2 linked regions of the Danio rerio genome follow. The protein of the gene in region 1 interacts with the protein of each later gene in a biochemical or structural test. Links are inferred from orthologs where the notes say so. Each region holds a gene or a part of one and is shown in the gene's direction. Other genes may lie near its edges.

Evidence for each region. The genes of interacting proteins can lie anywhere in the genome.
Region 2: the proteins of ston2 (region 1) and syt1a form a complex in vitro, tested with the Homo sapiens proteins (2 studies listed by BioGRID). The link is inferred for Danio rerio from reciprocal best matches to the Homo sapiens genes STON2 and SYT1.

What each region holds. Positions count from the first base shown.
Region 1 is NC_133192.1:18,053,660-18,057,159, forward strand, and holds part of ston2 (stonin-2), read left to right. Parts: intron 1-696; coding exon of another isoform or gene 697-725; coding exon 726-2,568; intron 2,569-3,500. UniProt on the Homo sapiens protein: Adapter protein involved in endocytic machinery. Involved in the synaptic vesicle recycling. May facilitate clathrin-coated vesicle uncoating.
Region 2 is NC_133179.1:21,724,246-21,728,405, forward strand, and holds the start of syt1a (synaptotagmin-1a), read left to right. Parts: upstream 1-1,360; 5' UTR 1,361-1,421; intron 1,422-4,160. UniProt on the Homo sapiens protein: Calcium sensor that participates in triggering neurotransmitter release at the synapse. May have a regulatory role in the membrane interactions during trafficking of synaptic vesicles at the active zone of the synapse.

The sequences.
Region 1 (3,500 bases):
AAATATATACATATGTATGTATGTATGTATGTATGTATGTATGTATGTATGTATGTATGTATGTATGTATGTGTGTGTGTGTGTATGTGTGTGTGTATGTATGTATGTATATATATTGTTAATCGTTTTATATGGAAAATAATTATAGAGATCATATTTTTGCCATATACAAGTCCTAGTAGATAGTGAGAAATTTTACTAAATAATTAAAGTTCTTACATATCAACAGTCTTCTGTGTCTAAAATGACTAAAAAGTTGATTATTTAGCTATCCTTTTTTCATAATGCAAAAACTTTAATTCTGAAAAATATTTTCTTATGTATTCAATCACACAATAATCCTCTTTTAAATGCATCTGTGGCAAGTGGAAATTTTACATTTATGCATTTGTCTATAAATCATAGTTGATTAGAATCTGCCTTCTTCTTGTAGTGGAAATGTCTTTCAGAAAATGGACAAAAATAGTCCAACCATTGTGACTCTCATTAGGTTTCAAAAATAAACTCAAAGTACTCTGGAATGACAGAGGAGGTCATCCGTTTTCTTGTTTATAAGATTAAGTCTGCCTCATATGTATGACATGTCCCTTCCTCCCTTCCTGGTTATTCCTTTGAGAAAGTTATTCAGCTAATTATAATATCAGTGGTCAAATTTTATATTAAAGTGGCTTCTTTGTCTTCTTTTTTCATTGACAGATTCTTCTTTGTGCCAAGACGATGAAGGAATGAACATGGATTCATTCAACTGGACAGCAAATAACCAACACACCAATGGCCAAGCTTATGTCACCTCCAACCGCTTTGCCAGCTGGGTTACTTTTGATGAGGATGAGGACTCTGTGTTACAGCCTCCGGGGAGGCCGTCTAATATAAAACTGCATAACCTCAACAATTCTCCTCTGCAGGATGCCAACAGCAACCTGATTCCCTCTTTATTTTGTGGCCAGATGCCAGAGAGACACATCCTGGACTTGACCCCTGATGGCAACAATTCAATCTTTGCGTTTGATAACACATTATCAAAAAACAGCGTCCCTTACAACAAGAAGAACCCTTTCTTAGATGATGACTTCTCCAACCTAAAGCCCTCTCCTATTAACCCCTTCAGTGCCTATTTTGACGAAACAGACTTGAAAACTTCCCAAGGCATTGGCTTGTGTTCAGAGGCATCGGATGTGTCTGCTTTCAGCTCACCTTTCTTTGGATATCAAAATGCTGATATCAAAAGGGAATCTATTTTGCTTTTTCCACCTCAGAAAGACTCTGCAATTGAAAAAGATAGTGTCCAGTCAAGCTTTCCTGTAGATGGTCTGAATCAGCTCAGGAATATACACATCTCTGACCCTGACCGTGATGATAGTCCTCCTTTACCTGATTCAGTGGATGAAGCGGACTCCACTGATTCCACTTATGAACCACACCACATGACACCTCAGGAAGGCTGGCCGATGCTCCTGCGTATTCCTGAGAAGAAGAACATCATGTCCTCACGTCACTGGGGACCAATATTTGTCAGGTTGACGAACAGCGGCCAGCTGCAACTTTTCTATGAGAAAGGGCTGGAGAAGCCCTTTAAAGAGTTCCAGCTGAACTCCCAGCATGAAATATCAGAGCCCAAGCTTCAAAACTACGATGAAAATGGCCGGGTTCACACCATCAGTGTAGACCATGTGGTTTACAAGGAAAAGAGGAAGATCCAGCCCAAGGTCACAGTGGTTCATTTGCCTGTCAAAGAGCAAGTGGTGAAACTTGGGACTACAAACTACCAGGACTTCTTAAGCTTTCGTCACGCTCTACAGGAGAGACTTGTGGGCCTCTCGATGGACCAAGAAGGTCTCAACTGGCCAACGACTTACACTGAAGAGGAGGTCCATGTGGAGGTGAGGGATGACTTTTATGGGATTCTCTCCAAAGGAGACAGCCGGATCTTGGAGCAGCTGGTTTTTACCCGAGTGAACATGCTAGCCTTCTTGAATGGATCCCCACCTTGTAGTATCGGCCTCAATGATATCCAGATCAAAGGTAAAGAGGTGGTTTCTCGGCATGACATAATTCCTAACACAACCTCACGTTGGATTCAACTGCGGGACTGTCGATTGCATGAGTGTGCAGACCAGCTAGAGTTTAACGAGTCCCGAGCCATTACGTTCAGCCCACCGGTTGGCCGCCGATTTGAACTGCTTCGTTTCCGCACTCCGTTTGCCGAAAAAACCCTTCCCTTCACTCTGAGAACTGTTGCTTGTGTCAGGGGTGCAGAAGTGGAGATGCAGTCCTGGCTGATAATGTCAACCGGGTTCTCATCCAATAGGGATCCTTTAACGTTAACACCATGTGAGAATGTTGCAATTCGTTACCCCATACCAGAAATTTGGGCAAAGAACTTTAGGCGCGAGAGTGTGACGGGAGAGAAGTCTCTGAAGGCTCGATTCAACAAAGGAGCCAGCTTTGGTTCGACTAGCACATCAGGGTCTGAACCAGCCATGAGGGTCACACTCGGCACAGCCAAATACGAACAGGCCTTTAAGTCTGTAGTATGGAGGATTGGTCGCCTGCCGGACAAGAATTCAGGTGGGATTTTAGGGCTGAATTTGGTAATCATGTTGTCAAATGATAAGACAGCAGGAATGAACTTAGCATGCTGGAGTTGTCATATGTTCATAAGTCACACAGTAATAATTTCAGAATAGGTCACTTGTGAGTTCTTGTGAGTTCATATTATACCTAATATTATATATTTGGTCATACTTAATTTTAAGGTACAATTTTTTTAAACCACTTATGCTGCGTTCACACCAGACGCTGATGAAGCATCAAGCGTAAGCGGTTTACATGTTAAGTCAGTGCAAAGACGTGAATAAAATAATTTTAGTAAGCTACAAAAATATAGGATATAGGAGAAATAGGATTAGCATAGCATAGCCATGTTATGGTCTTTAAATCAAGATCATGCTTGCCTTGTTCTCCTCTGCTACTCTTGTCTAATAGAACTTTTTAATTCCATCTAAATTCTGTTTTTCATTTGATAAACCAGTTGCGACTTTTTCTTAGTGTCTATAGCCTGTATAGTGATTTTGCTGTTGCTCTAAAGTAATGCTACTTCTGCTTTCTTTGTATTGGCATGATGAGAATATTAGCATAGATAGTAGATTAAAGGTTTTAGTCTGAATAGATCCTCACAAACTCCCAATTCACAATGCAGTGCTAACAAGCAATGCCTCTTAATGCAGTATTGACTATCAATGCAAGTGCATTGGTGTAGAAATAATCTTTTATCCTGTTTTGTTGCTTTTCTGTGGTCATAGCATTTGCATTGCGACCAGTGCTGGTATTCTTTTTTTTTCTGTCAATGGCAAACGCTTTAGGCTTTTCAATAGTACATCAGCAGGGATCCCCTCCCCCTGCGTGAGCCTGATTGGTGAGACAAAACTCAAGCTGTCATTATCTATTAATTCACAGGCTCACTGTCTGACATCCCTGAGCTTCACAGTCCAGCACAATGA
Region 2 (4,160 bases), on another chromosome or scaffold:
CATTGATAGACTTGGCAAGCGTGCGGCTCTGCTTTATTAATTGAATACTCCAGTAGGTGGTCAGCGGTGTATAATAAATCATACTAAATGGGGGTAAATTGTCTAGAATTAGTGTCTGTGTGTTTATCACTTGAGTCTGGAAATGCTTTCTGGAGGTTAAATAATGAAGAGTGGCATCAACTGCAACTGGGGGCAAATAAAATGTAATCGTATTAGGGAAAGAGAGAAGGGGAAATATGGAGGGAGTGAATGTAGAGTGTGTGTGTGTGTGACAGAGAATGGAAAGCAAAGATTTAATAAGCTGCAAACACTGCAGTCATGTAAATTATGCAATTATTGCATAAATTGTGTAAGAAATGCCCCATTTTTGCACATACAGTTCAAACTGTTTTTAAACTGTCATATTTAAAAAACTACAACAGTGAACACACACACATATTAGAGAGCATATTTAATATATAGTGGCTATATATATAGTTATATACTTATAATTTAAAGAGTTATAGAAATTGAAACTTCAGGATAAAATCTGATAGGTATTGCTGTGTTTATTAAATGTTGAATATGTGGTTTAGTTTCTGAAATGTATCATATAAATATGATAATTATTATTGATTTATATAACTTCAAACTTTTGATTAAAATCAGCGAGTCTGTGCCATGTGCAAAAGGTTGGTTTTTTAACAAAGCTTTTCTTTTACATAGCTTAAATGATTTCAATTTTGGAACACAAGACTGCACTTTATAATTAACAGAATATTAGATTGCCATTAACTCTCCCGAGCTCAAACCTACTTCTCTTTCATATTTAATTTAAGGTGACTTCATCGTCACAGGTCTTCATGTGGACATTCAGATATTGTAATTCAACTCTACAATGAGCAGTCTGTTTTATTTAGAGCTGCGCTAATTAATGAACATCAGACCGACACACTGTACAGCTCTGCCTTCAGGCTACTTTAAAGCTGTTATTCAAAACATCTTTAATTGAATATTCAGAGTAAAGTGTGTGATCCTCAGTTCTATTGGGAATTGTTTTACCTTATGTCACTGAATGTGGATCATTGCATACACTTATACTCTGCAACTGAGATGAATGTCAAAAGTCTACTTGAATTTTGATATTTTGATAAATCTCTAGGCTCATAGCTGTGCCTTGGCCTGCTTTGCAACCTGGTTATTTCTTTTTCTGTTTTATATAAATCTATACACTTTAAAGAAAAAGGCATCATGCTTAGGGTCTATTGCTGGACACCCTGAAGACTTTCTGCTCTGCCCTGAGGCTGAGATGATAATGTGTGTTGCAGATGGCCATCTCTGAGCCAGTGTTGTGCTAATGTGATCTTTTCTCCTTTCCTTCCAGAGAGCACAAAGGAAAAACCGGAGAAGAAAGGGAAGAGACGGCTGTGCTTTTTTTGTAGGTACTGTGCTTTTTGTTCTCAAGAATCTTATCAGCATTAGTATAACGTTGTTCATCCCACACTACAACCTTAAAGATACACAGGGCAGCTGTATTACAGGTTTTATGGAAACCATATAAAGAAACACTATTTCTTGGAATTTAAGATAAAGCTATAGCTTGAACTCACTCTATAGTATTTCAAATGATACCATCAGTCCATCAATCACAGAACAGATAGCACATAGCTTGGTAAATCTTTCACTCTCTTGTATTTATGGTACAATTTTATCTAGAGGGATATGTAATGCTTGATGTTGTAGACTTGTATAGCTCTTGTAATGGAGATGAATGAGCAATGCATATCTAGCTGACATTAAAATGATTTTGTTTGCTTTAAATCACAATAAATTGTTACTATACAGTAATGCATTTCTTATACTATTAGTTGATCACAAACAAGTTGTAGTTTTGCTTGGGCATCACAATTTAACTCAACTTTTATTTAACTTAATTTAGTATTTGAATGTATTTGTAAGTGTGGTTTCACCCAATGTGCATTAGTCTACATTTATCATACATCTATCACAGACATACAGTAAATGAAACATACAGTATTGACAAACGAACAGCATTTAAATAAAAAATAATAATGTATGGACAACATCTAAAACCATTTATTATTTATTAATAAATTTGTCCATTTGCTTGCCAATTACTTTATAGACTTACAAATGAATCCTCATGAATACTGACATTAAATATTTAGATTATATTCTATTCAAACATTCTTTTCAATGTTTTGACTAATAAAACTAGTACCGTATGAAATATACTTATAAAACGTCTTATGGAACGATTGTTTGATTCTGTTCTGAATGACCAAATGATTACACACAGTTTAAAACAACTACACTAAACTATCATGTAGCATTCAGTTACTGAAGCTTCAAGTTTAAGTTTTACAAAAGCTGAAAAATTAAATACGTTTTGGATTTCACTGGATTTATAATGCATTGCAACAAGTGTTTGAATGAAAAACTTGTGAAAACAAAGTGTTTAAAAACAACTTTAATGTAGTAAATTAAGATTGTTAAGTAATTGTTTTGTTCATGATTATTTTAAAGCGAGAGGTATGGTTTGGTTTACAAGTAGTTATATATATATTTATATATAAATATATATTTATTGTTTATATATTTATTGAAATCTTAATTTTTCTGTACATTTCAGACAGTTATGTTGTTTGCCTTTTATGTATTAGTACTTGCAAACTGTATATAGTCTAACAGAATCAATCAAAACATTTTGTATCTGTAAATGTTAACATATTTCTACCTAAAAATGGAGAGGGTAATGTCAAAGTTCTACTGTGGCACAATTTGAGCAAAATTTGAAAAATGGTTATGGCAGGAATACATAGGAAAAAAAAACTAAAAAGTGCTCTTTAATGGCCCTATCAGCTATCAAAAAAGCCTTCATTAGGTAGACAAGCATCATAACTGAAGCTTGGAGGAATGGAATGTCAGCTGGTCCAATAATCCAAGCGGATGTTCGTGTACATGATTGGTGTTTATCTGGAAAAGTAATGGCATCAGGATGCATTGTTGGATGACAACAAGCCAGTGGCTTGAGAGTAATGATCTAGGCAAAGTCCCAATGGGGAGTCACTGGGTCAGGCAATTCATGTGGATGTAATTTGACACATGCTACCTACCCACACATTGTTGAAGACCATGTTCTGTACACCTCTTCAGTACAGTGGTGCTACTTCCTGGTGCAAGTGATCTCTTTAAATAGAATGAAGCACCCTGCCCTGCCACACACTATACATTGTTCAAGAATAGTTGATGTACACAGTGGAGAAAACTAGGTGTTGCCTAGGCCTCCAAATTCCCCACATCAGTCCAAATTGACCACCTGTGGAATGTGCTGGACCAATAAGTTGGCAATTCCACACAGCAACCTACAGGACTTGAAGCATGTGCTAAAATCTTGGTGGCAGGTACATGTACAGTACCATGCCCCTGTGAGTTTGCTCTGCTTTGGCAGCATGTTGAGGAACTACAGTATATTAAGAGATGAGGTTTTGAGTAGTAAATATAAGCCCACAAGCCATAGCATATAGCTTGATATAGCCATAAGTTACAAAAAAAAAAAAAAAACTTAAAATGCTCTGATCATTATAGGTCTGAATCAGCCATTCTGTAATGTTTTAAATCACTTAAATCTTTCAATGCCTTCAACTTGATTCAAGTACCTGACTTCAGTTTACATTCTGAGCTGTCAGGGATGTCTGAAGCAACTAGTAATTAATGCTTCCTCCGCTACTTTGCTGAGCTGTGTGTGTCCCTCTCTTCCCCATGATGAATGGAGCTCCTGGACCCTGTCCCAGCTGTCATCTGTGATTGATGCACTGTGCTTGTCTTCGTCCAGGTTTCTTCTGCTTGGTACCTTCCTTCCCCCATCCGATCTTCAGCCTCATCCTATTAGCCACAGTATTAATCACCGCCACTGCAGCTAATTGCTTTATAATCCCACCCCTGAGCCGTACAATGTGTTGAGAGAAGTCACCTCTGAATCTTTCCCCGCCATTTCTGAATCTCGGTCTTCACCATGCTTGTTTTTGATAGCAGTGTATTACCCACGATTCCCTTCCTGCCCTAATCCTCTCCCGATTTCCTCGACTGATAATCTTAACAGAGTCACTCCCCATAAAACACTAACTCTGCACCCATGCTGATGTAAGAGACAAAGGGCC